2 linked regions of the Stegostoma tigrinum genome follow. The protein of the gene in region 2 interacts with the protein of the main gene of each other region in a biochemical or structural test. Links are inferred from orthologs where the notes say so. Each region holds a gene or a part of one and is shown on either strand. Other genes may lie near its edges. The genes, in order: gabarapl2 and nbr1a.

Region 1 (16,340 bases), on a different chromosome or scaffold from region 2:
TCAGGAGCACAAAAGCTGACGTTTCGGGCCTAGACCCTTCAGAGATGAAGGGTCTAGGCCCGAAACATCAGATTTTGTGCTCCTGAGCTGCTGCTTGGCCTGCTGTGTTCATCCAGCTTCACTCTTTATTATCTTGGATTCTCCAGCGTCTGCAGTTCCCATTATCACTGATACAGAATTCTAAGCTTTGTTAATAGAGGAATGGAATATAGGAGGCAAGTGAAAATGAACGTACATAAGCACAGATTAAACCACAGGTGGATTATCATATACAGTTCTGAGCACCAGAATAGTGGAAAAATGTGAACGCATTGGAAAGAGCGCAGAAGAAATTTATGACACATGTTTCATAGAGTGAGACACTTCAACTAGCAAAATAGAACAGAGAAGTTGGGACTGTTTCTTGTGGAGAAAGTGAGAAAATGTTTAATGGAAGTTCTCAAATTTATGAGATGCCTGCAGAGAGTTGATATGGAGAAACTGTTCCTGCATGTTAAAAGGTTTGAGAATGAAAAGGCAAAGATACAAGTGTGAGGAGAAAAAAAAAACTTTTCAGGATGCCTAAAATAAGGAATGACATGGGTTCCAAAGTTAGAGGGCATAGGTTTAGGATGAGAGAGGAAAGATCTAAAAGGGTCCTAAGAGGCAACTTTTTCAGGCAGAGTGTGGTGCGTGTATAGAATGAGATGCCAGAAGTAGTGGTGGGAGGTTGTTACAATGACAACATTTAAAAGGCACCTGGATGGGTATATGAATAGGAAGGGTTTAGAGGGATATGGGTCAAATGCTGGCAAATGAAACTAGATTTATTTGGGATATCTGGTCAGCATAGATGAGTTGGACCGAAGGGTCTGTTTCCATGCTGTATGTCTCTATGACTCTATAAAACACCATTATAAAAAGAGATAACAATGGATGATTTATGTCCATAATTTGACTTATTCTCTTCTATTGCTGAAATGAGCCACTGATTTAGTTTCAGATTTCATTTGAAGGGGAGAAGTCTAAATTCAGATAATTTCAGCTTAGATCTGCTCACTGATGAATAGTTATGGTACAAAGGATAAAGAAAAATGACAACATGCAGCACTCCCAGTCCTAGATGTAAGTCTGTATTTGCCATCTTCAATTCATTGGATGATAGGAGAGAGAGAGTATGTAGCGGTCAAACCATTGGGTTCATTATCCAGAGGCTCAGTTAATGTCCGGAAGAATAGGTTCACCACAACAATTGGTCTCTGTAATCAGTGTGAAAACAGAAGTGATTGTCAGGGAAGGAAACCTGCCATTCTTTCTTTGTCTAGCTTATATGTGACTCCAGACTCACAGCAATATGGCTGATTCTTAACCCACTGAAATGGTCGAGCAAGCAAGGGCAATTGGGGATGGGAATGAATATTAGCCTCATTAGGTGACACCAACATCTCATGAAAGAACAAAAACAAAAAAGGACGAAATAATCCAAGCAGCCATTTTCTGGTAGATCCCCTAAAACTTTGTGGCAAATCAGTGAAATGGAGAGGTACTTTGTGATCTACAATAAGGTTATGGCTGAAAATTACTGTTGAAATTTTTTGATAGGTATTTAACATATATCATAGATTTCCACTTTCTGACATATCAATCGCAGCATAGTCTCTAAATATCTTAATATCACATTAAAATGTATGACCACTGATTATCACGCTGAAAAACAACTGTTAGCATTAGTATAAAAAATAGTCATCAATAATTCCAAGTTCAATAAAACGTGACAAGAAGAAAGGACAAATTGTGTTTATATTGTGCCTTAAAATTTAGTACACAATCCATGGTTTTATGGATAGAAAGAAAATGATCATCAAGCAATAGTTGAAGACTTTGCGGATTGATTAGAGGAATGGTCATAGATTTTATAGAGGATTTTAAATGTGGGGAGAAAAGGAAGGGAGACAGATTTAGTGAGGGTGTGGAAAAGCCAAGAATCAAGATATTGAAAACTCTATCACCACAGTGACATGCAGGTAAATCAGTGCTGTATATTCAGATTAAACCAGTAGAGGAGATTACACTAAAGGGAAAAAGGTGAGAACAAAAGCACTAGTAGATCCTGTGGCTTCTAAAGTCAGCTCCAAGGTTCAATGTGATCATAGCTAATGTTCTATCTCAACTTCACGTTCCTGGCCACTCCCCAAATCTCTAAGAAACTAATAGACTTTATCTCTCAGGTTTTGAATATACTCAATAACAGAGCATCCAAAACGTGCTGGGAAAATAATTCCAAAATTTCACAATCTCAGAAGTGAAGAAATTTCTTGTCTTAGTTCTGGATGATCCAGCCATTATTCTGAGACCATGAAGCTCCAGAGATTACAAGTCCAATTTATTCAGCCTGTCATCATAAACAATACCCTCATTCAGGAACCAATGTATTCAAACTTTACTGTATCCCCTTTGAGGCAAGCATAATTCTTCCTTGAATATGGATGCAGAAACTGCACACTGATTACACCAAAGTCCTTGACAATTGTTGCAAGATTTCCTTATTTTTGTGCTCTAATCCTCCTGCTATAACAAATTGCTTTCCTAATCCTAAAGAGAATGAGGAATTGAAGGAAATCAACGTTAGTAAGAAGGCCGTACTTGAGATATTAATTGGGTTAAAGTGATAAGTCCGCCGGACTTGATGGTCTTCATCCCAGAGTGGAAGTGATTACAGAGAAATGCATTGGTGATTTTTCCAAAATTCTACGGATTCTGCAATTAATCCTGCAGATATAAAGGCAACAAATGTCACCTCCCACTATTTAAGAAGGGAATGAGATAGAAATGAGGAACAACAGATCAGTTAGAATTACTTCATTAGTACGGAAAACACCAGAAGCAATTATAAAGGATGGGAAAGATAGACATATGGTTGATTACGATTTGGTTCAGCACAGTCAACTTGAATTTGCAAATGAGGAATGGCATTTGATGAACTTGGGAGTTTTTCTGAATATATTACAAACAAAATTGATAAAAGAGACCTGATGGGCATAGTATATTTAGATTTTTAGAAGACTTTTAATAAAGAGGCCGGTTTGAAAAGTTAAAGTACATGGGATAGGAAGTAAACATACTAGTAAGAATTAATGATTGGCTGACAGAAAATAGACAGTAGGAATAAATGGGTTATTCTCAAATTGGCAGGCTATGACCTAGTGGGGTACTATAAGGATCAGTACCTGAGGTCACAGCTGTTCACAACGTTATCAACGGTTGTAGGTAGGGACCAAAATGTAATATTTCCAAATTTGTGGATATGACAAGGCAGGAATAGGAGGTGTGGAGAAAATGTAAAACAAGTATTTCTGTAAAAGATTCAGTATGGTGAATGTTCAGAAAGTCCCACGTTCACAAGTTACTGAAGGCTAACATACAGGTGAAGCAAGGTATTACGAGGGCTAATGGAATTTCAGCCTTTATTGCAAGAGGATGAGAGGCTAGGAACAGTGAAGTCTTGCTTCAATTGCACAGGACCTTGGTTAGAGCCCCTTAGAGAGTGTTCTGTCTTTGCCTCTGAGGAATGATGTTACAGCCACAAAGGGACTGCAATGAAGACTCACCAGACTTGATAGTTGGGATGATAGCACTGTCCTTTGAAGAGGGAGTAAGTGAACTGAGCTTGTATTCTCTAGAGTGTCAAAGAAGGAGAGGTGATCTCATTGAACATTGCAAAATACTTGAAGGGGTAGATGCAGGTAAGATGTTTTCCCTGGTTGGGGAGTCTAGACCCAGAGGCCACATTTTAAAAATAAGGTAGATACTACTTAGGTCTAAGATGAGGAGAATGAATATTCTGAAGATGGAGATTGATAGGTTTTAATTACCAGTAGCATACCGGGATACAGGGATGGGTTGAGTAAAAACCATTAAAGTAATGTATTAACCATGTTAGTGTTGAACGGTGAGGCAGGCTTGAAGGATTGAATGGTCCACTCTTGTTCCTAATTGCTTGCTTTACCTATAGATTAATTTTGTGCACTATACCATTTTTCTCTTAACATCAATATTTAAAAGTTTTACACTTTTAAAATGTTCTGTGTTTGTTGTTGCTATTAGTATGAATAACCTCTTCCTTTGTTCACACTTAGTTTATTGCTTACTCACTTAAATTGTCCATACCTCTTTGGTTCCTCTTTTCAGTTTACATTCTCACAGATACAAAGCGTCTTTTTCTAAGTCGCTAATATGGATTGAAAATAGTCAAAACCTCAGCACTGACCCTTGTACTACTCCACTATTTGCACCCTGCTAACGTGAAAAAGCCCCGGATATCACTTTGGTTAACAGATGGGAAACAATCTTGCATCTATGTTGCTACCAACTCCATGAGTGCAGCTGGAGTATTAAACATCTATGCAGTACCTGGTTGAATTCCTTTTAGAAATCCAAGTATACTACATCTACTGAATCCCTTCTATTTACCCTAGCAGTTACATTCCAAAAACTAAAACATTCTCTTTCATAAAACAACATTCGATTTGGTCTGATCATAAATAATAGTACACTGCAGTTTTTTTTCCCTGACATTAATGTCACATTAAGCAGTCTATCATTTCCGTTATCCCTCATCCTTGCTTTGTAACCAATGGTGTTACACTGATGACTGAGAAACTTGTAAATGAGCATCAGAAGCTTTAATTCAATTTGTTGGGAACGGGGAGCCAGTGAAAGGCAGCTAAGGAATGAGTGGAGTATTTAATATGGAAGTTGGAAATCTGAAATAAGAACAGAAAATGCTTTAAACATTCAGTATATCTGGCACCATCTGTAGAAGGCAAAACAAATTTAATGTTAATGATATGGCTTCTCATTGGAACACAATGTGTGTATGGTTCAGGTAGTGGAATAGATTTGGTATTTAACAAAGGAACTGTTAGAGAAGGGGAGTCTGGAGCACTTGAATGGGAACTTCAATGGCAGTGAAGATGGGGAAAGGGATTAAGATGTTAAGTGTTACAGAAGTTAATTACTGTCGTGATTTACTTGGACAGAACATTGAATATAGTATTAGCAATATTAACAATTCAGAGTGGACTATTTAAATGCAATCTAGCAAATTTCACATATTTTACCCTCAATAATCCAGGGTTCGGAAAAGATTTACAAGTACATTGCCAGAGTTGGAGGGTTTGAGGTATAGGGAGTTGCTGAATAGGGTGGGGCTATTTTCCTGAGTGTCAGAGGCTGAGGGGTCACCTTATAGAGGTTTATAAAATCTTGAGGGGCATGTATAGGGTAAATAGACAGGTCTTTTCCCTGAGGTGGTGAAGTCCAACATTAGAGGGCATAGGTTTAAGGTGAGAGGAAAGAATTTAAAAGGGACCTAAGACACAGGTTTTTCATATAGACGGTGGTGTCTGTATAGAATGAGCTACCACAGGAAGTGGAGGAAGCTGGTACAATTACAACATTTAAAAAAGGCATCTGGATGGATATATGATTAGGAAGGGTTTAGAAGGATATGGGCCAAATGGAACTAGATTTATCGAGAATATCTGGTCAGCATAGTCAAGTTGGACTGAAGAGTGTTTCCATGCTGTACACCTCTATCACTCCATATCTGTGCTCATTTCATTCTAGCTTCTTACAAATCCAAGTTCTTAATTGCTCGACCACTCGTAGCCATACCTTCAGCATAGGCCCAAAGTTCTTAAATACACTTTCTGCAGCCTTCTGCCTGTCTACCTTGTTTTCCTCCCATAAAATACTCCTACAGATTACATTGGCCAAGCTTTGTGTCTGGCGTAACATCATCTATGTACCTCAATACAATATTTTGTTTCATTATGATTCTATGAAATGCCTGGAAATATTCAAATTTGTTAAAAATGCCTATAAATAAAGGTTGCTGTTGTAATTTTGACAAAGGGTAGGCTTTGAAATGCAAATTCAACTCAGGGTCCAAAGGACCTTAAATTGAAACTGAGTTTAAACAAAGAGCCAAGGTGAATATAGAGGTTCCTGCTCGAGAGAGTAATAAAAATTGTTCTGCATGCAATATCTCAACATCTACCAAAACCCAATTAAACAAAACTGCTAAAACCAGATTAATTCATTATGTATTAGGGTGCATTTTGTGTACCAAACTGCTATTTCCAAATGACAACTCTGCAAGGCAAACAATTACTCTTCTTAAATGGTACTTCACTTCTACAACGTTACGTGATGAAAATTATTATATGAAGTTCAAAGTTGATGAAAGGTTTAACGTAAAGACTGTTAACATTAAAAAAGGTGAGGGTTAAGCAAGCCGGTTCAGTTTCCTATGGATAAATAAATAATTAGATTAGATTAGATTAGATTCCCTAGTATGGAAACAGTATTGTGATATCTAAATCTAAAAACCACATGCAAAATAGGTTTTACTGGAGCATTGATGATGTTGACACGCTGGATGTAATATTCGAGTGTTGAGTTAATCATTATCTAATTCTGAAAACCTCAAATAGACGCAACAATTTACACACCCTAAAACAAAACAAACAGCAGGCCAACGAGGAAAACTGCGCAGGTCAGGACTAGGCCCTGAAGATGATTAAGACAGCCCGACAAAAACTGGGTTCCTGTAAATGCGTCTCCAAACCAAACTCACCTAATGAATGGTCTTCTTTAAACATCCATTTCATGTTGCCCGCTATATGAAAGTATCTATTGACTGAAAAGAAACAAAACGCTGCTACAACGTGACTCTCTAGCACTGCGCGATATGAAGCTCAGGGAATGTCCTGTCGGTCGCAACTACTCGCTAGTGAAAGGCGGGGAAGGATAGACAGACAATGATTCAAGCGAGAAGACCAAAAGATTTCTGACAGCCAGAACACAGCGTGTTGATTACAGTATTTGTTTCCGGTTTGTAGCATTGAATAGCAATTCGAAATGATCCATTTTTGTTCCATACGAATAAATTCAAAACTTTGATGTATCCCTTATAATGCTATGGTTTGTTCTGAAAGGTCAATTCAACCATTAAATTACATCATTTATCATTTTAAAAAGGAAACATTTTTGATACGTTTTCTATGTTTTTTATTCTTTTCTAATATGGGTTCCAGATTGAACGATTGAATGTAAGCAACACAACTGTCAAGGTACCTTTTGCTCTGAGTGAGTGGTGAAATTCTTGAATCCCAGTAGTCCATCTTCTTCGTATGAGTGCCCTCCTAGGCCAATACTCAAGACAATTAAATCTCAATCACTTGGAGTTGTGTATTAGCCAAACAGGGTAAGATTAACAATGAACTTGTAATTTTGTAAAGCCAAAACATCCCAAGATATTTCGCAGAGGCATTATAAATAAATTGTCATGTGAGGAAATATCATGACAGATGCCCAAAAACGTGTTCAAAGTGATGGCTTTTAAGATATAACTTAAAGGAGGAATATAAGGATGAGAGGTGGAGAGGCTATAGGGAATTCTGTGTTTAGGCTCCAGGCAACTGAAGGCAAGATCTTTATTAGCAAAGTGATTGAAACTGGGGATTGGAATTAGAAGTGTACAGATATCTCAAAGAATTGTACGATTGGAAGGGATTGTGGCAATAAAGTAAAGGCAGGTTGTGGAAGAATTGGAAAATAATTATGAGAGTTTTATATCTAGGTATTTTATAACTGAGAGTCAATATAAGTAAATGACCACATGGGTGATGGGTCAATTTTTTTTGCTGACAGCTTGTGCAAAGACATTTAACTTTAATTGTAAGGGAATTAAGGAATCAAACTTCAAAACTGCAATCTCAAATATGGTCATCTTAAAGTGACAAAGGCAAAAAAAATCATGGATGTGGAGTGTGAGGCTCAGTGACAACAAAACAGAAGGAAAATCAGAGGTAAGGGGAAAGAGATCGAAATTAAAAATGGAGAATACAACTGAGAAGCAGGCCGAATTTATACACTGTTCAGAAGTTCATCAAGGCAGCAGTTCACTGAGTAGTTTTCTTGACTCAGCCACCTTCAGCTACTTCATTGATGACCTTCCTTCCGTTATAAGGTCAAAATTGAGGATGTGTGCGATCAGCAGCAAGATGTTCAACACCATTCACAACTCATCAGATTGTGAAGCAGCCAAGGTCTACATGCCGCAAGACCTTGACAACCTGGAGGCTTGGCCTGATAAGTGGCAAGTATCATGACATGGAGACAGACAACCAAATCAAATCAGCCTCTTTATCCTTGTATTTGCAACACAGAAAAATTAAAATAATCAATGACACTCAAAATTGATCCCAGTGTTTCCGAATCAGTCTTTTTGAATAACCACTACCATATTTAGATAACTAATGACAGACCCAAGGTTTGTAGCAGAAACAAAAGATTTAACAATTAATTAACAATACAGTTATTTTAACAGAACAAAGTTAAACCAAAAGGTAATCTAATTAATGACTGATTTAAACTCAATCCTCCTTAAATCTAGCTCTCATTTTCACACAAAGACTGACAGACATGGTTAAGGGACAAATCAAAAGAAAAATAATCAGTTGAGATGTAATTGGCCAAATCACTTAAGTGGGCTGCACAATTCGTACCATCCTTGGCACATAGGATTATATCTTGCTTAATGCCTCATGATACCAATGTATACACATATCTTTGAGCAGGCTCTGAGGAATATTGATTTAATTCTTATAACTAAGATTCTGTTCTTATAGGTTGATAATGAGAGGACAACTGGGGAACATAGAATAGAATCACACAGCATAGAAACAGACCCTTCAGTCCAATCACTCCATGTTGAAAATGATCCCAAACTAAACTAGTCCCACCTGCCTGCTCCTGGCCTATATGTCTCCAAACCTTTCCTATTCGTGTACTTATCCAAATGTCTTTTAAATATCGTAATTGTACCCACAAACTCAGGAAGTTCATTCCACGCGCAAATCACTATCTCTGTTAAAAATTTACCCTCATGTCTTTTTTAAATCTCTCTCCTCTCACATTAAAAACGTGCCCCCTTGTCTTGAAATCCCTATCCGAGGGAAAAGACAACTGCTACATGCTGTAAGATTGGTATAACAGGCAACAAGGTAATTAGGGCCTCCAGTCATTTTCTTACCATGCAAATATCCTACTGAAAGAAGATACATCAAAATCATCTTGCAAGCTAATTGCCACCAATCTGATCATTTCTTTCTGTATATTATGTAAAATCATGAACATACGTAAGGCCATAGTTTTTGGTCTGAAAACTTCCCTGAGATTACTCTGGAAATCTCAAAAAATTGAGCATCAAATTAAGTTTGATATTTCACACTGCTCCTGTGCGGTAATGACATTTACCACTTACCAGATGCTGCCATCAAGTCAAAAAAAAGTTCTGCCTATCAAAATGAATAACAAAGTGCATGAATTTCAATGTCAGTATGATGCTAGGTATGTTGGTAGTACATAGAATTCAAACAGGTCCCTTTGGGTGTTCACAACAGGCCAAGTACAACTGCACCTAATCAGCACACACTAGTAAAACTCGCAACAATGTCCAACATTAAATGTGATTTTGCCATTGCACAGCATTTGCTAAATAATCCTCATAGTGCTAAGAATTACACTGTCAACCAATTAATGATCACAAGTCAACCTTGCAGTGTAGCACACTTGTGCACACGGAAAGCAAAATATATTAATACTCAGGGATCCTGTTTTTGCATTCAGAAAGAACATATACATACATTGTATTTGTTTCAATGCAACAAAATAGGCAACAACTATTCTGTGGTTCATTCCTCAGTGCAATGCCTTGGCCAGAGTCAACCTACTTTATTTAAATTTTTTAAAAAATTTACCATTTTCTAAATGGTGTTTTCTTCTTGGCAATATCTGTAAAGTCCACTTGCTAACTAATTCATATTCTGTCTTTTTAAACAATATAAAATATTGTCTCCCTTTACACTGGTATTCTTGCAAAAGTCCTGACTGCAAAATAAAAAGCTTCAAGGTGTAATTTTTCAGTAATACTCATGTTCTGTTCTACCAAATGACTACTCAAACCTTTAATAAATTCTCTCCATCCTCTATCCACAAAGGTCTTTTGTGACTTACATTTCAAAAATCCTATCTGAAACATGCATTTATTTTCATTCAACTTAGATGGAAAATTTTCTTCATTATTGTCACTTTTAATTTCTGCATATTCAGCTAATCAGACAAACTTTGCAACAAAAATTTTGAGATTCTGAACTCAGATGTCAAGTAGAAGCATGCATCAAACTGTCAGCAATGGGACAGCAAGAGTTTTGAAATATTCTGGTTAATCTGAATTTAGGTTGTCATGATAATTATAATTTGGAGTACTGATCATTATTGCTAAAAATTAAAGATCATCCTTCAGATGTTACAATTAATTTTGTTCAGTCATCCAAATTTGTCAAAACAACAAAGGGAGCAAACGGCTGGTGTGTGCATTTACAACAAATTGTCTTTCCATTGAATTTCAATATTGAATAAAAGCTACGGATCTCAAACTTGAAAATTGCAGTTAGGTGGAAGGATATCCCTCATTTCCACTAGCTCTCAAGGGGAAAAATGCTGTTGACTTCATCATAAGATATCAGCTTTGACTCTGTTGGTTGCATTATTGTCAGAGTCTGAAGGCTGCAAATTCACATTCCATCAAGTTAACTGTAAGTTGGCAAGCCATTTTTCCACACAACGTAAAAACTTATACCCCATCTGACCTCTCAGTTCAGCATAAAAGATCCCATGGCAATATGTAAAGAAAAGGAGTTCAACATGTGATCTGACTGATAGTCAGCCCTCAATGTCACCAAAAAAAAACCTGGTCATCACGACACTGCTGATTTTAGAATATTTGCCGTGCACTACTGGCTGCTGTTTCCTTCATTTTAATTGCAACTATACTTCATAATAATAAAATCTCTCTATCTGTAACCTTCTTCTGACTTAAACACAGTTCAAAATAAAGTTCAAACTCTGGCCTTTCTTTGTTAGACAGGTTGTTTGAGTATGAAGTCCCAGTAAAAACTCAGTATCTGCCATTTACCTGAGTATAAGGCCTCTCCAGAGTCAAAACATTTATAGAGCACCTTTTAACAAGAAACAACCTGCAATTAACCTTCAGCACTGGCTCAGAAACAAATAGTAGTTTGTTTGTTCTCTTTATTTTTAAAATAAGCTGCTGATCGCAGTCCAAAGGTCACTGACCTCTCCTACAGTTCACAAATCCAAACCAAAAGCAAAATAATGAAAATATCAGCAAAAGTTATAACACAAGTAATAGTCATGCCACACAAATATCAGGAGATGACAGTTTTCAACAAGAATGATACCTACAATCACCCCTTGAACTTATGGCATTATCATTATTGAATCCCCCATTGTCAACACCCACGGGGTTACTGTTCACCAGAAACCGAACTGGACCAGATACATTCATGCTGTGGCTACATGCGTAGGTCAGAGATTAGGATTCTGGAGCAAGTAATTCATTTTCAATCTTCCCATTCCTATCCATCATCTACATAGCACAAGTCAGCAGTGTGATGGAATAGTCTTCACTTGCCTGGAGGGTGCAACTCCAACAACTCTCAAAAAGCCTGACTGGCACAACCGCCACTATCTTCAACATTCACTCCCTTAACCACTCTCATACAATGCAGCAATGTGTACCAACTACAAAATGCACTGAAATAATTCTTCAAGCTCCTTCAGCAGAATCTTTCAAACCTGTGGCCTCCGCTACCTAGAAGGATAAGGGCAACTGATGCATGAGAACATCATTACCTGCAAGTTACTGTCTGTGAAAAGTGTATTTCACTATTGATCAGGAGATCAAAACTGTGTACAATACTCTAGGTGTGTTCTCACCAAGGCTCTTTATAATTGCAGTAAGATATCATTAATCCTCTTCTTAGTTGCTTCCTGTATTTGCACATCAATTTATAGTGTCTCGTGAGCAAGGATGCTGAAGTTCAACACATCTAAGCCTCTCACTGTTTCAGAAATAGTCTGTATTTCTGTTTAAATCATGAATCTGGATGATGTTATACTCCTTTACATTGTATTTCATCTCCCAATCTTTTACCTTCTAACCCAGCCTCTCTGAATTCCCTTGAAGCATCTTTACAACCTTCTAACAACTCACACATCTAACTCATTTTTGTGTCATTTTGGAATTAGCAAAATTACATTTAATTCCCACATCCAAATGCTACACTTGTTCAAAAAAGGCTGTAAAGATAAACCCAATAACTACAGATCAGTAAGTTTAATCTCAGTGGTGGTAAAGCTTTTAGGAATAATAATCAAAGGCAAAAATAATAGTCATTTGGGAAAATACAGATTAAGGAAAACATGTTTCCCTTACTGGAGGCATCAATTTAAGGCAAGGGACAAACCGTTTACAGGGAATGTGAGGTAACATTTTTTCATCTAGAGGGTGATAGAAGCAGAAACCCTCATAACATTTAAGAAGTGTTTAGATGTACACTTGTGATACCAAAGCATATAAGGCAATGGGATTAGATTATTTAGGTGAGAGTTAGCAAGAACAGCAGATGCTGGAGTCACAGACAACACAGTATGAGCTGGAGGGATACAGCAGGCCAGGCAGCATCAGAGGAGCAAGAAAGTTAATGTTTTTGGTTTGGGACCTTACTTCAGAAATAAGGATGGGGAAGGGAGCTGGGAAATAAACAGAGAGGAGGGGTGAGACGAGGGAGGTAGGTTGGATGGTGGTAGGTGAGCGTAGGTAGGCAGTGGTGGGGATTGGTCAGTGAGATGAGTCGGGGGGATAGGTAGGAGAGAAGATGGATAGGTGATTGTTTTTGACTGGTGCAGACTTAGAGGGCCTCTTCCTGTGCTATCAATCTTCGTGAGTTTATGATGGAAAAACGATTAGACATTACCTAAGATCAGAGCCTGGTATATCAATGATTACCACATATAGCAATATGTAATTTAAAAGTATAATAAATTGTGTTGCTTTGAGATCTAAGCCTGAAGACAAGTTCTTGATTTTTCCTTCTCTTTGACCAACCTGTCTTGAGCCTAAACCCCATGCGCCATCAAATTGCACTATAAAAGAAGTTTGAGAACCAGAGAGAACATATTTCAAGTAATTAGCTAAAGACAGTCCCTTTGATATCCCTGGTGATATTCTTTATCTTGTCAAAAGTAAAGTTCCCAGTGGTGTGGAAATTGTTTATAAGTGGATGAAAAACTTTCAACTCAACTGGTTGACAATGTCATCTCCAGTCTCTCAGAAGACAATCTTCAATCCTTGCTTAATGCCTTCACGGAAGCTTACTGAAGAATTGGTTTCAGCCTCACCCTAAAGATAACTCAAATCTTTTATCACCTGTCGCAAGTCAAGTTCTTGTCCATCCATCCATTAAGAACAACAGAGAAATCCTCCCAAATGTGGAAGATTTCCCCCACCTGGGAAGATAGCTGTCATCTATGGCTGACATCAATGACATGGATGACCGTGACATCTGCGCTGATACTAAAACCCTTCTGTATAATGCAGTCATCCTTCTGACTGTTCTACTTGGCTCCAAAACTTCAACAATGTATAAACACCAACTCAAGGTCCTTGAGAAGTACTATCAATGCTGTTTGAGATAGATTCTCTGATCAGCTGGGAGGACAAGTGAACTAACATCAGCATCCATGAAGCAAGAACACCAGCATCAAGACCACGATGATCCAAAAACCATCTGTTTTGGACTGCCACTCGCTTAAGATGCCTGAGCTTTGACTGCCAGAGCAAATCATCTTTGCCCAGTTTGAGGAAGGCACTTGAGCAAGAAGAGGACAAAGGAAGCATTTCAAAGGCTCCCTGAAGACTTACCCCAAGAAATACATCATATATGTCAATGTATGGAAGGACCTTTGTTTAGAAGCAACTGACTTGGAGGAAGGTCCTATTTGAATGGGCACAATTCTTTGAGAACACCCATCAGCGGGAGGAAGTCTGGAAACTAACTAAAGAAAGAAGTGCCAGTGACCTCAAAGCCAAGGACCAATTCCATCACCTAAAAACATCTACCAAATGTGTGGTAGAACAGGAAGTTCTAGGATTGGATTTATTAGCTATGCAAGAATTCACAGGACCAATAAACAGCGACATGGAATTCCGTAAGTGAACAATTGTGATTGTTGGTGATTGATGAAATGACAACTTGTGGTGACTTGAAGACAATCTTTTACATGTAACTGGAGGTAAAGTTGTGTGAGCTGCCACAATGGTAAAGAGCTGGTTCAGTTGATGCATTCAAGCACAATTTAGATTGTTATAATGAAAAAGTACAGAGTCATAGAGCTGCAGTTTGGAAACTGACCCTTTGGTCCAACTCATCCATGCTGATCAGATATCCTAAATTAATCTGGTCCCATTTGCCTGCATTTGGCCTATATCCCTCTAAATGTTGTAATTGTACCAGCCTCCACCATTACCTCTGGCAGCTCATTTCCATATATGCACCACCCTCTGTGAGAAAAAAGTTGTCCCTTTTAAATCCTTTCCCTCTCACCTTAAACTTAAGCCCTCCAGTTTTAGATTCAACTATCCCGGGGAAAACACTGGCTACATTAAGCATATAAGTCCTGCCCTGATTTGCCTTTCCAAAATGCAGCACCTTACCTTTATCTAAATTAAATTCCATCTGCCACTCCTCAGGCCATTGGCCCATCTGATCAAGATCCTGCTGTAATCTGAGGTAACCTTATTCACTTTCCTCTACACCTCCAATTTTGGTGTCATCTGCAAACTTACTAACCCTACCAACTATCTTCACACCCAAATCATTTATATAAATGATGAAAAGCAATGGACCCAGCACTAATCCTTGTGGCACATCACTGGGACTCCAACTCTGAAAAGCAGCACTTTGCCACCACCCTCTGTAGTATACCTTTGAACCAGTTCTGTCTCCTAAGATGCTGCTTGGCCTGCTGTGTTCATCCAGCTCCACACTTTGTCAACTTCCAATTATCTTTGTATCCAAATGGTTCTGAAGAACAGTCACCGGACCCTGAAACGTTAACTCTGGTTTCTCCTCCACAGATGCTGCCAGACCTGTTGAGATTTTCCAGCAACTTTGTTTTTGTTCCTGTATCCAAATGGCTAGTTCTCCCTGTATTTCATGTGATCTAATCTTATTATCTGAAAAAGGAGGAACTGTACATGGAACAAGTGGGGATTAGCACTCGAGTGATTTGTTTTTTCAGAGAGCGAGCACAGACATTACGGTCTTAATTGCCTCCCTCAGCGCATGGACGAACCTACGATTCTGAGAACGATCAAGCAGAGTTCTGAATGATAAAATGTGAGGCTGGATGAACACAGCAGGCCCAGCAGCATTTCAGGAGCACAAAAGCTGACGTTTCGAGCCTAGACCCTTCATCAGAGAGGGGGATGGGGTGAGGGTTCTGGAATAAATAGGGAGAGAGGGGGAGGCGGACCGAAGATGGAGAGAAAAGAGGATAGGTGGAGAGGAGAGTATAGGTGGGGAGGTAGGGAGGGGATAGGTCAGTCCAGGGAAGACGGACAGGTCAAGGAGGTGGGATGAGGTTAGTAGGTAGGAGATGGAGGTGCGGCTTGGGGTGGGAGGAAGGGATGGGTGAGAGGAAGAACAGGTTAGGGAAGCAGAGACAGGTTGGACTGGTTTTGGGATGAGGTGGGGGGAGGGGACGAGCTGGGCTGGTTGTGTGGTGCAGTGGGGGGAGGGGACGAACTGGGCTGGTTTTGGGATGCGGTGGGGGGAGGGGACGAACTGGGGTGGTTTTGGGATGCGGTGGGGGAAGGGGAGATTTTGAAGCTGGTGAAGTCCACTTGATACCATTGGGCTGCAGGGTTCCCAAGCGGAATATGAGTTGCTGTTCCTGCAAACTTCGGGTGGCATCATTGTGGCAGTGCAGGAGGCCCATGATGGACATGTCATCTAAAGACTGGAAGGGGGAGTGGAAATGGTTTGCGACTGGGAGTGCAGTTGTTTATTGCGAACCGAGCGGAGGTGTTCTGCAAAGCGGACCCCAAGCCTCTGCTTGGTTTCCCCAATGTAGAGGAGGCCACACCGGGTACAATGGATGCAGTATACCACATTGGCAGATGTGCAGGTGAACCTCTGTTTAACATGGAAAGTCATCTTGGGGCCTGGGATAGGGGTGATGGAGGAGGTGTGGGGGCAAGCGTAGCATTTCCTGTGGTTGCAGGGGAAGGTGCCGGGTGTGGTGGGGTTGGAGGGCAGTGTGGAGCGAACAAGGGAGTCACGGAGAGAGTGTCTCTCCGGAAAGCAGACAGGGGTGGGGATGGAAAAATGTCTTGGGTGGTGGAGTCGGATTGTAGATGGCGGAAG
Region 2 (17,183 bases):
TTACATGATTCCAATGCATTCCAGCCATATCATACTTTTGTGCTGCACTCACAACAGAATAATTTCAGGAAAGAATTTTAGTCCTATTGCCTGTATTGTTCAATCCTGAAGTAAAGGCTACACTGTAATTTGTACCTAGGATTCACTGATGCACCTCAATGGAAATCACAATTAGTTCCATAGGCTTTTCAATTAAATTTCTACAAACTTGATGTTTTTACATTTCAGCACAGTTAATAAGGAAAACTCACAATGAAATAAGTACTGTTTTAAAACCAATTTGACTGCAATTTTCTCCTCAAGCTGATCTGACAGTTAACCATGACCGCAGAAACTGAATTTATTGCAACAGTTTCCTTAAAGCCAAATCAACTTACCATTACAATGTACATTTAAAAGAAAATTCTAGGTCCAAAATAAGAGGTATCAAAGTTGATTTAAATCTTTTCAGCTTTAATTCTTATGCTAAAATGCACAGAGATTTTCCTTTCTCCTGGAGGTAGTATCCTAGTATAGACTGAGGACTGGCAGTCTGATGGAGGACAGAATTGAGATGGTGGTGGTGGTGGGGGTTATTATCAGGATGGTAACCTTTAATTAGTAGTGCCACAGAGATCCAGAGATAGAGCTACCATTATTTACAAGATATATGAATGGCTTAGATGTGGAAAGTGACTGCATTATTGCCAAATTTGTGAATGGAGGGGAGGGTAAGAATGAGAATGACACAGTCTACAAGTGGGCAAAAACATGGCAGATGGAATATCACGTGGGAAAACGTGAGGCCATGCTCTTTGGCAGGAAGAATAAAAACCTGTTCATTACTTGAAAGGGGCCAAACAGCATAAAGCTACAGCACAAACATTTCATATATTACAAAAAGCTAGCACAGAATTTCAGTAGGTTTACTGGAAGGCAAATGGATGCTGGCCTTTATTTCAAAAGGGAAAAAAGTACAAGAATTGTGAAGTCTTGCTAAAACGAAATGATGCACGAGTCAGACAGCACTTGGAATCCAAACAATTTTGGTCCCCTTATCCAAAGAATGATATACTGACATTGGAGACAATAGACTGATCCCTGGGGTGAAGGGACTGTCTTATGAGGAAAGGTGAAGAATGATAGGTGACCTTATTTTTTGAAAGATATACAAAGATTCTTACAGAACTTGACAGGATAGGTTTTCCCCTTGTGAAAAAGTTTGGGAGCAAAAAGGGCACAATCTCAGAATAAGATGTTGCCCATACAACAGTGAAATGAGGAACTTCTCTGATAGATAGTCAATGTGATGAATTCTTAACTACAGAGATTGGATTGTTAAAGCATATTGAAGGGTGACATAGACAGGTTTTTAATCAGTAAGGGGATTGAGGATTATGGGGAAAAAGGCAGCAAAGTGAGGTTGATCAGCCACCATCAGTAGCCACGGATGATTAGGGATAAGTGACAGCATAAAATTAAAAGAAAGACCTGACAAAAATGCACAAAACAGCAAAAAACAAAACCCAGTTAAATCGTAATTATGCAAAGACCAGCATAGGGCCACAAAATAGCTTACAAGAAGTACTAAGGGGGATCATGAATAGCAACTTGGCAGGGGCTTAAAATCAATAGGAAGAGGTTTTATAGTTACCAAAAAAAAAGGGAAAGCAGGTGGCCAGGAGTAAAGTTGGCCCAGGGAAGACAAAGTGAGGATACTGTCAATGATGATGGGGAAATGGCAGATATACTGAACAATTTCTCTGCCTCAGTATTCACAGTAAAATAAGGAGGAAAACAACACAGCAGATAAGGGAAGAATCAAGATATGGAGCTGGATGAACACAGCAGGTCTCTGCAGTTAATCTCAGTTTCACCAGCATCTGCAGTTCCTACTATCTCTGAAGGGAAGAATCAATGCAAGAATGAAGGCATTGAATTGAAATTGGTGGGTATGATATTGTCAGAATTACAGAGGCCTGGTTGCAAGGGGATCAGGGCTGGGAACTCAACATCGAAGGATACTCATCCTATTGAAAGGACAGGCAGATGCACAGAAGTGATGTTGAAGCAAAAGACATGGAATCTGTGCAGGTAGTATTGAGGAACCACACGACCCTGATGGCAGTCAGCTACAGGCCTCCAAGCAGGAGTCAGGATGCGTGGAAGAAAATAAACCAGGAGATACTAAAGGGATGCAAAAAAGGCACTATTACAAAATTCATTGGGTATTTCAACATGTCGGTGGACTGGAAAGTTCAAGTTGGAAGTTGATCCCAAGAAAGGGAATTCATGGAATGTACACAAGGTATTTTTTTGGAGCAGCGTATGGCAGACACCACAAAGTTACAGGCAATTCTGGATATGGTGATGTAATGATGCAGTCATGGTTGGGGAGCTGAAAGTGAAACAACTGCTAGGGATCAGTGACCATTTACGATGGGATGATCATAAAATGATGGAATTCACCCTGCAGTTTAAACTTCAAATGCATGGGGAGGAGCTGGCCAGAGATGACTGGAAGGGAAACCTATCAGGGAAGATGGTGGAATATCAATGGCAGGGATTCCAGGGAGTAATTCAAGAGGCATAGCAGAAATCTATCCCATGGAAGTGCAAGAATACTAAGGGGAGGACAAGGCAGCCATGGTTGACAACGGAAGTCAGGGAGCAGCCGCTCAGGTGACACAGTGGTTGTGTCCTTACCTGTGGACCAGGAGGCTCAGGTTCAAGTCCCTTCTGCTGCTGAGGTGTGTATTAATACCTCTGAACAGGTTGATTAGAAAATGTCAAAAAGCAAAAGAAAAAGCATATAATGTGGGGAAGATTAGAGGGAACTTAGAGGATTGCAAAACCTTAAAAACCGATAGAGGATAACAAAAAAGCAATAAAAGGGAGGAGATGAAATAAGAGGGTACTCTAGCTAGAGATGGAGGTGGCAGATATGATAGGCGCTTTTAAGAGGCTTTTAGATAAGCACATGAATATGCAAGGAATGGAAGGATATGGACCAATGGGCAGGCAGAAGAGATTAGTTTATTTAGGCATCGTGTTTGGCAAAACATCACAGGCTAAAGGACCTGTTCCTGAACTATACTGTTCTATGTTCTAAGGCAGGATGTTCTCACATTGGAGATGATCCAAAAGAGATTTACAAGAATAATCCTGGGAATGAAGGGCTTGTCACAAGAGGAGCAATTGAGGACCACTAATGTCCTTCGGGGAAAGATATCTTCCACCCTCACCTGGCCTGGTCTACATGTGACTCCATATCCACAGGAATGTGGTCGACTCTCAACTGCCCTCTGAAATGGCCAAGCAAGGCAGTTAGTGCATCAATCACTACAAAGTGTCAAAAAAAAAATGCAAAACATGATGGACCACCTGGCATTGACTTACATCGCAGAAAGGACCGTGCAAAACCCTCAGACCCCTTGTAGACTCATCCAGCACAGAAACAGATTGCTCGATCTAACCAGTCCATGCCAATCACAATCCCAAACTAAACTAGTTAGACCTGCCTAACCTGGCCCATATTCCTACAAACATCTCTTATTCATATACTTATCCAAATGTCTTTTAAACATAGTAAAAATACCCAATCCACAACTTCCTCGGCAAAGTTCATTCCAAACATGCATAAAAACAAATCATAAAAACAAACCTTGACCTGTCCGTCTTCCCTGGACGGAGGCTTGGGGACCGCTTTGCAGAACACCTCCGCTCAGTTCGCAAAAAACAACTGCACCTCCCAGTCGCAAACCATTTCCACTCCCCCTCCCATTCTCTTGATGACATGTCCATCATGGGCCTCCTGCACTGCCACAATGATGCCACCAGAAGGTTGCAGGAACAGCAACTCATATTCCGCCTGGGAACCCTGCAGCCATATGGTATCAATGTGGACTTCACCAGTTTCAAAATGTCCCCTTCCCCTACTGCATCCCTCAACCAGCCCAGTTCGTCCCCTCCCCCCACTGCACCACACAACCAGCCCAGCTCTTCCCCCCCACCCACTGCATCCCAAAACCAGTCCAACCTGTCTCTGCCTCCCTAACCGGTTCTTCCTCTCACCCATCCCTTCCTCCCACCCCAAGCCACACCCCCAGCTACCTACTAACCTCATCCCACCTCCTTGACCTGTCCGTCTTCCCTGGACTGACCTATCCCCTTCCTACCTCCCCACCTACACCCTCTCCACCTATCTTCTTTACTCTCCATCTTCGGTCCGCCTCCCCCTCTCTCCCTATTTATTCCAGTTCCTTCCCCCCATCCCCCTCTCTGATGAAGGGTCTAGGCCCGAAACATCAGCTTTTGTGCTCCCGAGATGCTGCTTGGCCTGCTGTGTTCATCCAGCCTCACATTTTATTATCTTGGAATCTCCAGCATCTGCAGTTCCCATTATCTCTAAAAACAAATCACTTGTTTTTAAAGAAATATTTCTTCTCACACCTTAAAAATATGCACCCAAGTCTTGAAATTTCCTACCCTCGAGAAAAGATACCCGCCATTCACATTATCTATACCCCTCCTGATTTTATAAACCTCTATGTGCACACCCCCCGCTTTAATCTCCCACAATCCAGTGAAAAAATGTCCCAGCCTATCCAGCCGCTCCTTAAAACTCAAATGCTCCATTCCCAGCAAGGTCCTGGTAAATGTCTTCTGAACCCTCTCCAGCTTAATAATATCCTTCCTTTGACAATAAGACCAGAACTGGTCACAGTACTCCAGAAGAGGCCTCACCAACGCCTTGTACAACCTCAACAAAATGTCCCAACCCCGATTCTGAAAAGTCTCAGCAATGAAGACAAGCGTACCAAATACCTATCCATGTGTGAAACAAACTTCAAAGAATTATGCAACTGAACTGCTGGGGGGGGGGGGGGGAATGCTAGTACCAAAGTTGAGCAATAGCCTGACATAGTCACATTCGTATTACAGACAGTGTCCCACCATCTCTGGATAAATGCTGTCCTAACAGCAGAACAGACCCAGCAGAGGTGGAAGCTTGGTTGGTATACAGTCTGCATGGAGTTGGCCTGCGAGTCCTCAACACAGAGTCTGGACTCCAAGAAGTCTCACGACTTCAGGTTAAACACAGACAAGGAAACCTCCCGCTGATTACCACATACCATCCTCCCTTGGCCAATGAATCAGTACTCCAGCACAGGGAGGAAACCACTGGCTGCAGGTACATCTGTCTTAAACAGTACTGGTAAGAGTGACTACCACACAATCCTCCTGAAGATGAGGCTCTGCCTTCACATTATCCTTCATCGTATCGTGTGGTACTATCAATATGCTAAATGGGACAAACCGAACAGATCTAGTAACTTGAGGCTGGGCATCCGTGAAGCACTGTGAGCCTTCAACAGCAGCAAAATTGCACTCCAGCACAATCTGCAACCTCTTGGTATGTCATATCACTATTCAACCAATACCAAAACATCAGAGGATTAACCCTGGTTCAATGGATAGTGCAGGAGGGCATGCCAGGAACAGCACCAGGCAGACTGAGAAATGAGACATCAACCTGGTAAAGCTACCATACAGGATTACCTGCATGCCAAACAGCACAAGTAGCAAGGACAGACAGAGCTAAGCGAGCCCACAACAAAAAGATCGCTTCCAAGTTCTACAGTCCTGCTATATTCAGTTGTGAACGATGGTGGGCAAGTAAACAATCCACTAGCGAAGATGGTTCCCTCTTGTCAGTGATGGAAGAGCTCCATACAACAGTGCAAAAGATAAGGCTGAAGCACTCACAGCAATCTTCAGCCACAAGTGCCAAGTGGATGATCCACCTTGGCCTCATCCAGTCATCCCAAACATTACAGATGCCAGTCTTCTGCCATTTCAATTCACTCTTTGTTATCAAGAAAAGGCTGGGGGCCCTGATCACATTACAGCAATAGTACTGAAGACCTGTGTTCTAGAACGTGCAACTCCCTAACGAAGTTCTTTCAGTTGTTAAAACACTGGCTTCTACCTGACAATGTTGAAACTTGTCCAGTATGTCCTGTACACAAAACAGGGCAAATCCAACCTAGTCAACTACTGCCCCATCAATCTATTCTTCATCAGTAGAGTGAAGGACAGTGTCCTCAACACTGAAATCAAGCAGCACCTGCTCTGCAATAATCTGCTCACTGCCCATCTGGGTTCTGCCAGGGCCACTCATCTCCTGACCTCATTACAGCTGTGGTTCAAACATGGACAAGAACCTGAATTCCAGAGGTGAGGGTGATAGCCCTTGATATCAAGGCCACATTTGACCAAGTACAGCCTCAAGTAACTCTAGCAAAACTGGAATCAACAGGTATCAGAGGACAATCTCTCTGCTGGCTGAAGTCATACCTGGCACACAGGACAATGGTTGTGGTTGTGGAAGGTCAGTCATCTCATCTCCAGGCATCTCTGCAGGAGCTCCTCAGGGTACTGTCCTAGACCCAAACACCTTCAGCTGCTTCCCTCCATCATAAAAGATCAGAAATGGAAATATTCGCCAATGACTGCACATTCACGACTTCTTAGATACTAAAGTAGTCCGTGTTCAAATACAACAACATCTGGACAATATCTAGGCTTGGGCAGACAAGTGGCAAGTAACACCACACAACTGCCAGGAATTGGCCATCTCCAACAAGAGACAATCTAACCAAAGTGCCTTGATTCTCAGTTGTGCTACCATCACTGGATCCCCCACATTAACTTCCTGGGTGTTACTTTGACCAGAAACTCAGCAGAGCTCACCACACAAACACAGAGGCTACAACAGAAGGTCAGAGGCTGGGAATACTGCAACGGGTAACTCCTGACTCCCCAGTGCTCTGCCCATCATCTACAAGACACAAGTCAGGAGTGTAACAGAATACTCCCCACTTGCCTGAGTGGGTACAGCTTCAGCAATACTCAAGAAGTTTGACATCATCCAGGACATAGCAGTCCACTTGATTATCACCACATCCACAAATATCCATTCCTTCCACCATTGATGCTCTGGACAGCACTATGTATTATCTACAAGATGCAGAATAGAAATTCACCAAAGATCCTTAGATAGCACCTTCCAAACCCACAACCACTTGTATCTGGAATGGCAAGGGTAGCAAATACATGGGAACAATACAACCTACAAGTACCCCTCCAAGCCACTCACCATTCTGATTTGGAAATATATTGCTGTTCCTTCACTGCTGCAGAGTCAAAAAACCTTGAATTCCCTTCCTAATGGAATTGTGGGTTAACCTACACAGGTGGACTGCAGTGGTTTTAGAAGGCAGCTACACCACTTCTCAAGGATAAATAGGGATGGCCAATAAATGCTGGTCTTCCAGCAACACCCATATCTCATAAATGAATAAAAACAACTCTGGAGTTTAGAAGCTTGAAGGAGGATTGCATTTAAACTTACACAATACTGAGAGGCCTGGATAGATTGGATATTGAAACAATGTTTTCATTAGTTGGAGAGACAAAGATGGCCTCAGATTCATAGGGCAACAATTTAGGACTGAGATGAGGGGGAATTTCTCAGCCAGAGGCTGAGTAGACGGTGGCAGATTTTTGGAACTCTCTTCCACTGAATGGTGGAACAGGTTTGAAGGGCAGAATGGCCTCCTGCTGTTCCTGTCTCGTTGAATACTGGAATAGACCTGATGGGCTAAATGGCCTACCTCTTCTCACATCTTATTGTCTTTTGTTTGCTCCTCGTAGCAATTGGCTATTTCACTCCAGAAGCAGCACCAGTTAATAGTTTTACAAATATTCTAGCCCAGCGAACAAAATTCTACAGATCCAAGTAATCTTATATCATACAGCATTCAGATTACTATCTTAAGAATGCTTAATCATGCACAATGTTGGGAAATAAAATAAAAATTTTGACCAAATGAAAGCTGCAACTTTAGCACTGGCTGAACAGCAACTACGGCAGGAAGGAAAAAAAACTAGAAAAAAAGGAGCTCAAATCTAAACATGCCGAGTTAACTCCATACACAGCATAAGAGAGTTGAGGAATCTATTCCAAGTTTTAAATTTTTTTTGAGCTTTGAGAATCAGTTTGACTCATTGATCAAATTGAAGGACAAATGGGTTACTTTGCACATCCATACTTTATAAACAGGTTTCATTTACGAAGTACACTGCACATCCGCTTGTCCTACTAAACTGGATTGCCTCAGATTTTTACCGTATATTCAATCTGCCATGTACTTGCTCACTCATCAAGTCTGCCTCAAACTGCCTTGAAATAAGTTTGCATTTTCCTCACAACACACATTCCCACCTAGCTTTTTGTTCATCTGCAAACTTGGAAATACTTCATTTACCCCCATATCCAAATCAGTGTTTCATATTGTGAACCACTACAGCAACAAACACTGATTTTTGCTGTATACAGTACCAGGCACTGCCTGTCAATGCAGAAATAACTTGTTTATTCTTACTTTCAGTCTTTTGCCTGTTGTCCAACTCTGGATCCACACCAGCACATGACCATGTATTTCCATTTCGCTAACCAGCCTTGTGTGAGAGAATTTATCAAAAACATTCTGAAAATTCAAATATGCTACATTCACGGACTGCCCTTCAACGATTCTGCTTGTAACATTCTTCAAATATATCCTCACAAATCTACGTTATTTATGTCCAAACAAATTATTATCCAAGTGTCCATTTATCACATACTTCATAACAAATTTAAAGGTTAACAAGTCTGTATTTCCCAGTTTTCTCTTTCCCTTCCTTCTAAAACGCAGATAGCAGGGTAACATTGACCGTGTTTCAATTTGAAGGAACCATTCCAGAACCTATAGAATTTGGAACGTGACCAGCAGAGCACCCATATTTGCAATAATTATCTCTTTCAACATTCTGAAATGTGGAACTTTGGGACCCAGGAACTTAACCTTCAAAGCAATTCATTTCTCCAGTCTACTCACTAATACAAATCTTCTTCAATTCTTCATTCTTCTTTTCCCTTGAATTTCTAAGTCAGGGAGATTTATTGCTTTCCTTAGGTGAAGATAAATTATTACGTGGTATCTGACTTCTCTGCCATTTTTCTATTTCCCATTCATGACTCTCTCTGCAGTGGACCAAATTTGTCTTAGCTAATCATTTCCTTGAGATGTAGAAAATACGAGGAGGTCTCTTGGCCCTTGAGGCTGCTCTGCCATTCAATGTAATCATAAATGATTATTCAATGTTTTGACCTGAACCACCTTCTGTAGGAAAGAATTCCAGAGATTCACCTGTCTTTAAGTGTAGAAACCTCCCCACATCTCATTCCTAAATGGCCTACTTCATATCCCAAGACTGTGATACTTGGCCTTCAGGAACATCCTTCCTGGGCAGACCCTATTGAGTCATGTTAGAATTTTATAGGTTTCTAGGAGATACCCCTTCATTCTTCTATAGTCTGACCAATCCAGTCTCTCTTCATATGTCAGTCCTGCCATCCCAGCAGTCAGCTTGGTTAAACCATCACTGCACTCCCTACGGAGCCAAAACGTCCTTCCTTGAAAAAGGAGACTGAAACTGCACACAATAGTCTGGGTGCGATCTCACCAAGACGCTATACAATTGCAACAATACTTTCACTGTAACGTACTTTCACTTATTAGCTATACTTGGGTCACCCTTCCAGTATTATTTTACTGGATTTGGTGAGGGAATGCTTACATATAAAAAAAGATTAACACAAAGAAGACAGTCTTGTATAAAATTTCAGAATCCATTAACACAGGAAGTCATGACAGAAAAAGTACACTGCCAAGGTATTTGGGATATCATCACATGTTACGTGACTCAGTCAAACAGTTTCAACCTGATGTCTACAAATCAGAACCTTCTAAAGCTACAAGCATGATCTGATATCCTGTTTACAGGTTCAATTTAACACCACCCAGAAAAAAAATTAAACTGCATATCTGTTAAGCAGCATAAACATCAGGACATACTGAGATAAATATCATGAGTCAGGGTACATCACATTATAAATAAGTTCTGAATCTGAAATTGTTCTGCTTAGATCAATAGTAACGTCACATCACGGTTTGCCCAATTGAACTAGCTAAACAGAGTTCATGTGAACCCAAGGTGGCAGCAACACACTATAAAGTAAATATTTATATTTGTTATCACATTCTTCATATATAATACTACAGCTAACCAAACTGTTTATTTAAACCAGGAAACCTAGCTGCAAGGACAGAATCACTATTGCAAGGAGTCATTGCTGAACATTTTATTCAAAATACTAAAAAACAACATGGCATGGATAGAGGATTGGTTGACTAATAGAACTCAAAGAGTAGGGGTAAATGGGTGTTTTTCTGGTTGACAGTCAGTGGCTAGTGGTGTGTCTCAGGGATCAGCATTGGGACCACAATTGTTTACAAGTTACATCGATGATTTGGAGTTGAGGATTAAGTGTGGGGTGTCAATATTTGCAGATGACACTAAGATGAGTGGTACAACAAACTGTGCAGAAGACACTGAAAGTCTACAGAGGGATATAGATAGTCTAAGTGAGTGGGCAAAGGTCTGGCAGATGGAGTGCAATGTTGATAAGTGTGAGGTCATCCATTTTGGTAGCAATAATAGCAAAATGGACAATGTTGTAAATGGTAAAAAATTGCAGCATGCTGTCGTGCAGAGGGACCTGGGTGTCCTTGTGCATGAGTCGCTAGAAGTAGGATTGCAGGTGCAAAAGGCAAGTGGAATTTTGGGTGGAGTTTAAAAACAGGGAGGCTATGCTGCAGCCGTATAGGGTCCTGATGAGGCCACACCTAGAGTACCATGTGCAGTTTTAGTCTCCTTACTTGAGAAGATATATACTAGCACTGGAGGGGGGTGCAGAGGAGATTCACTTGGTTGATTCCAGAGTTGAGAGGCTGGCTTATGAGGGGAGACTGAGTAGACTGAAATTATACTCATGCGAATTCAGAAGAATGAGGGGTGATCCTATAGAAACACATAAGATTATGAAGGGAATAGATAAGGTGGAGGCAGGGAGATTGTTTCCACTAGCAATAGAAGGCATCACCTCAAAATAAAGGGAAGCAGATGTAGGACTGAGGTCAGGAGAACTTCTTCACCCAAAGGGTTGTGAATCTGTGAAATTCCCTGCCCAATGAAGCAGTTGAAGCTACCTCGCTGAATGTGTTTTAGGCAAGGCTAGATAAATTTTTGAACAGTAAGGAAATTACGAGTTATGGTGTGCTGGCAGGTAAGTGGAGCTGATCTTGATCTTATTGAATGGGGGGGCAGGCTCGAGGGGCCGAAAGGTCTACTCTGCTACTAGTTCTTACGTAACATAATAGTTTGAGCACATCATCCTATGTCTGCTACGGGAGGGGGCAAAGAGTGTATATGGGGTGGGGTGGGGTGGAGTGGGGAAGGAGTGTAGACTACGCAGATGGGGGTGAAACAGTGTAGACGGGGTGGGGGGGGGGGTTAAGCGGAGGAGTGTAGACGAAGGTTTGGGTGAAGATCGAAGATGCCGGGGGAGTGAAGATGCCAGGGGGTTGGGGGGGGGGGGGGAGATAGAAGTTGCGGGAGTGGGGGGGGTGGGGAGAAATGAAGATGCAAGAGCGGGGGGAGGGAAGTGACAATATCGGGGGAGAGCGGGGGTAGGGGAGAGAGAAGAATAGATGTTGGGTCGGGGACAGAGAACAGTAGATGCGAGGGCTGGGGAGAGACGACAAGTTGCGGTGGGGTGGGGGGGCGGCGCTGACAGGAGAAGAGAGGAGATGCAGACAGGGGGAATTGAAAAGTAGATGTGGGAGCGGGTGTAGAGTTGATTCAGGGCGGGGTTCACCCCCTCCCTACACATCACTAACCATAGCTTCCAGATCCGCCCACGTCGTCTTCTGCGAGTCACACACCAGGAAAGTTTGTGTATCGCCACCAAAGGTCACGTTCAGTTTGATTTGCTCCTCCATACCTCCACGGTGGGTGAGAAGCTGGCGTCCGCCCGATGACAATGATAGTGACAGTGACAGTAATTACTTTCCCCCCCCCTCGGCACCAGAGGCTTCTGTTTACATCAGAGCCCTGCAGTTACCCAGCATCCACTGCGGCCCAGGGTAAACACGGTCGCCCATTGGCAGCTAACCAGTCATCTGACAGGATGTGACGTCATGCATAACGCCTTTGGCCGGGGGATTACACACTATTCGTCAAAACAAATCAGAGACCGGATAAAATGTTGGATGTTGGACCGTCAGATGAAGGATCGTCTAAAACAATAAGTTGGCAGCTAGAATCTGGCGGGTATAAGTTAAAAGCTTGCAGCGTCGTCTTACGTCATTTTTTTAATACAAACGGTGCGCCTATGCGTGCACCGTCATTCCGGTGCGTGTCATGTCCTGTGACATGTGTGAGCGCGGGAGACCCAAAATATGGCGATGCTTCGAGCTGAGGGTAGTGCTTGAGATCACTGTCGCATGCTGCTTCAACTTTTCATTTCGTCCGGTATTTTATCTTTCTCTGATTAAAATGCGTGTGATTTTCTGTGTTTGTAGCAACGGACCCTAGCGGTATGTGTGTTTTTTTGGGAAGACTGGATTCTGGATGAATGGGGAGCGGGGAATGAATAGAACGTACCTTGCGATTCCACAGCGCCTTTGACATCTGCTGTTCCTTCCGAAACGTTTTAGAGTGATCGGTTTACAATGTGACTCCTGTTATAATGCAGAAAGCACAGGAGGTGCCTGAGCTCGGCAGATTCTCAACATAAGATAGTCACCATATCAGAGATAATGGGAACTGCAGATGCTGGAGAATTCCAAGATATTAAACTGTGAGGCTGGATGAACACAGCAGGCCAAGCAGCATCAAAAGCTGACGTTTCGGGCCTAGACCCTTCATCAGAGAGGGGGATGGGGAGAGGAAACTGGAATAAATAGGGAGAGAGGGGGAGGCGGACCGAAGATGGAGAGTAAAGAAGATAGGTGGAGAGAGTATAGGTGGGGAGGTAGGGAGGGGATAGGTCAGTCCAGGGAAGACGGACAGGTCAAGGAGTAGGGATGAGGTTAGTAGGTAGATGGGGGTGCGGCTTGGGGTGGGAGGAAGGGATGGGTGCGAGGAAGAACCGCTTAGGGAGGCAGAGACAGGTTGGACTGGTTTTGGGATGCATTGGTTGCGGGGGGAGGGGGAAGAGCTGGGCTGGTTGTGTGGTGCAGTGGGGGGAGGGGACGAACTGGGCTGGTTTTTAGGGATGCAGTAGGGGAAGGGGAGATTGTGAAACTGGTGAAGTCCACATTGATACCATATGGCTGCAGGGTTCCCAGGCAGAATATGAGTTGCTGTTCCTGCAACCTTCGGGTGGCATCATTGTGGCAGTGCAGGAGGCCCATGATGGACATGTCATCTAGAGAATGGGAGGGGGAGTGGAAATGGTTTGCGACTGGGAGGTGCAGTTGTTTGTTGCGAACTGAGCGGAGGTGTTCTGCAAAGCGGTCTCCAAGCCTCCGCTTGGTTTCCCCAATGTAGAGGAAGCCGCACCGGGTACAGTGGATGCAGTATACCACATTGGCAGATGTGCAGGTGAACCTCTGCTTAATGTGGAATGTCATCTTGGGGCCTGGGATAGGGGTGAGGGAGGAGGTGTGGGGGCAAGTGTAGCAAAGTGTGGAGCTGGATGAACACAGACCAAGTTGCAGCTTAGGAGCACAAAAGTTGACGTTTTGGGCCTAGACCCTTCATCAGAGGTTTTCTGATGAAGGGTCTCGGCCCGAAACGTCAGCTTTTGTGCTCCTAAGCTGCTGCTTGGTCTGCTGTGTTCATCCAGCTCCACACTTTGTTATTCCAAAGCTTAATTTATTTGTGCTGCTGTCTTTGTGATTGGACTTGAAATATGACGAGCCAAAAAAGTAGTAGTAATATGATAGCTGAATTTGTGTTTTGTCACTATTAATTAGTAATAGGAAGGACAGACACTGAGAATGAGTATGTTTCTTATTCCCTGGTTTTGAAGTCAAAGCAAGTGGAATTAAGTTTTTTTTATAACTATGGGTGCTATTTGTGAGAAGGTGGCAGTGTTAGAATGGAAAAAAAAACTTCAATCCATAGTCAATGAAATGCTTAAATCATATACACTTGGCACAATGGATTAATATATAGTTGTACTGTTAACAAGTTTGTGTGTTCCTGCATTTTACCACAGGACTGAGACCTTGAGAAATAAAAGTTGAATTGTGTAAAGCTGATTGCAAATCTGTGGAAGTAAGAGCAAAAACAAAACATTGTCGATGTTAATTTCAGATTTCCAACAATCCTGGAAAGACTCAGCAGGTCAGACAGCATTTGAAAAGGGAGAAACAGTTAAAGTTTCAAGTTAAGAACTTTTTGTTCGGATCAAGAGGTTACAATACTATAACAAAATTTTAAATAAACACAGGGAATAATAGTTGTTCAGGTTTCATTCCGATTCAGACTGGAGTAATCTTGAGATCCATCTCCTTGCTCTGCCCCTGAGAAAGTCTGCCATTGACACCCTATGAGGCAAAACCAAAATGCTCAGGATGATACTTCAGCTTATAATGAGCTGGGAGGGAGAAAGAAGGGGAATGTATGATCGTGTCTAAACGAACTAACAGGGATGATTATACAAGACAAAAAGTGATGGTGGTAGGGTAGCAAGATCAGAAGTCAAAAACAGTGGATGCGTGAGAGCTGAAATTGGCAGCATCAGGACCTGAAACAAAAATGGAAACGGTGATAATGACTGACCGTAAAATGTTAAAGCCAGTTTTAATTTTAAAAAGCTAATGATGAAATCTAAGATTTTTTTCATACATTCACATGATTGGGGCAGCACTAGTTCTTTATTGCCTTAAGGTGATGTGAGCTGCTTGCTTCAAACTTAGCCATTTGAAAGTATAGGAACACCCACAGTCCTGTCAGGAAGGATGTTCCAGGATTTTCACCTAGTAACAGCGAAGAAATCTCAAGTCAGAATGGTGTGTGGTGGGAACTTGCAAGTTGTGGTGTTTCATGGTGCACTGCTTCTTATGAGCACCACTCTGTTCTTTGCTCTCAGCATATGTGCTTGGGTCACAAATAGTTGTGACTATGCTAAATAATTCAATTCTGAGAAAGGGTCACTGGACCTGAAATGTTAACTCTGATTTTTCCTTCACAGATGCTGCCAGACCTGCTGAGCTTTTCTAGCAATTTCTAGATTTACATAGGATATCTGGGTGGCATGGATGAGTTGGACCAAAGGGTTTGTTTCTGTGCTGTACATCTCTGACTATTTCCACCCCCTGCTTTCTTTCCTTCAGGGTTTCAGAGATAATTCCAGTTCAAGAACACCTTCCTTGGATCTGATCATTCTCATCAAACTGGTCTTGTGCTGGGGAAAGCTAGAGTTTATTCATGAGCTGTTTAAGACAGATTTAAGGGCAGACCAAGAGCTGTGGGCATTTTTGTGGTTCCTGTTCATTGATTGTAGAATCCCTACAGTATGGAAACAGGCCATTCGGTCCAATGAGCCCACACCGCCCCTCTGAAGAACATCCCATCCAGACACATTCCCCTACCCCTACATTTCCCTTGTCGAACCCATCTAATCTAAACATCCCTGGACACTCTGGGCGATTTAGCATGCCCAATCCGCCTAGCCTGCACTTCTTTGGACTGTGGGAGGACACTGGAGCACCCAGAGGAAACCCACGCAGACACAGGGAGAATGTGCAGACTCTGCACAGTCACCTGAGGCTGGAATCAAACCCGGGTCCCTGGCACTGAGCCACTGCGCCATTCATGGAATATCATCTGATTGGCTTATGTTACTGCTGCAGTTCTTGGGTGAGGCTGATGGAGATAGCAAATTGTATTAGCCAATGATTAGTCCAGCAGTTGCAGATCCTGGCATGTCACGAGTGATGTGAACACCTCATGGTCCCTCAAGAGTAATAGCATGTGCTCAATTTTGTTCCTAAGGCAAGTGTGCTGCCATGAGGTCTTGAATTTATCTCTGTGACAAAAATAAATACTTGTTATAACCAGATTCTGCCCTGGCCAATTCCATCAGGAGGGCAATTCATTGACGGTTGCCTTCTTTGCCAGTCACCTGCTTTTTAAGAGATTTGTGTGTGGTAATGTAAACTGTGTAATTTGTGTATTTCAGTACCTTTTATGTTAGTTTGGCATATGGGGTTTTGAAATCTGTAGTTTAATGATGAGCTTTTAAGTGTTTCTGTAGCCAAGAGAGAGTTCTTGTGATCTAATTGAAGTTTATCACTGGGAGCAAAGTAAACAGTGTATGTTAAGCAGTTCAAATGTCTGTTTATTTGTTTGGTTTTTCTCCCCTCTTTTTTGATAGGGATGCTATCTGTAGCTTAAAGTTTTCGGGTTTCAGTTTGTCAGGTTTGCACAAGTCTAGCATGAAGCTAGATGTGTAAATCAGTTGCTCCTATAAAAAGGAGTTAACACTATTTAACAATTGTAATTGGTTTCAGTATAAAGAGTAATTTTCCAGGTTTCCAGACCAGAAGTGTTTGGTTAAAATCTTCAAGGAATTATGTGAAGCTGAAGAAGTCTAAGCTTAGTTGTGTGAAGAAACTGAGACCCAGGACAGGGAATTGATATCATAGCTAGGTCAAATCCTCAGTGGGAAAAAGAAAGCCATTGTCTCAGCTGTTTGAATATTGTAAAGAAATGTCATCAGGCTTTATGGGGTCACATTTTATCATGCGTTTCAAAATCTTTGTTATATGTAAATGGATGGTTTCTTCTATTTTATACTTTCTTTTGCCTAATACAGTTCTGCTTTATTGTTAAAAACATAAATCTGCAGCATTTGCCTGTTTTTGCTTTAACTGAAACAGCATTGCACTAAAACAAAAAGTCAAGCCAGACTTTAATCTAGAATTTGACTTGCCCAGCAAAATCATCCACTCAGATAATAACACCTATTCCTCGCAAATGCAGCACTGAATTTGAGGAGAATCATCATCTCTCTCTTTGAGACACAGGGCAAGACTGAGGCTGGAGTAGAATGCTACGTTGGCCTTGATTATTGTTCTTCAGCTTGTGGCCTATGCACTGCACTCTAAGTAAGAATGAGCCAAAGAATCCCAACAATTAAGGAGAGTCGGGGGGGCATTACAAAAGAGAAAGTGCTAGAAAAGCTAAAAGGTCTAAAAATTGATAAATCTCCTGGCCCCGATGGGCTACATCCTCGAGTT

The links.
Region 1: the proteins of nbr1a (region 2) and gabarapl2 form a complex in vitro, tested with the Homo sapiens proteins (2 studies listed by IntAct). The link is inferred for Stegostoma tigrinum from reciprocal best matches to the Homo sapiens genes NBR1 and GABARAPL2.

Annotation. Positions count from the first base shown.
Region 1 is NC_081369.1:41,524,701-41,541,040, reverse strand, and holds the start of gabarapl2 (gamma-aminobutyric acid receptor-associated protein-like 2), read right to left. Parts: upstream 6,784-16,340; 5' UTR 6,654-6,783; coding exon 6,620-6,653; intron 1-6,619. UniProt on the Homo sapiens protein: Ubiquitin-like modifier involved in intra-Golgi traffic. Modulates intra-Golgi transport through coupling between NSF activity and SNAREs activation. It first stimulates the ATPase activity of NSF which in turn stimulates the association with GOSR1.
Region 2 is NC_081384.1:16,099,809-16,116,991, reverse strand, and holds the start of nbr1a (NBR1 autophagy cargo receptor a), read right to left. Parts: upstream 12,068-17,183; 5' UTR 11,931-12,067; coding exon 11,829-11,930; intron 1-11,828. UniProt on the Homo sapiens protein: Ubiquitin-binding autophagy adapter that participates in different processes including host defense or intracellular homeostasis.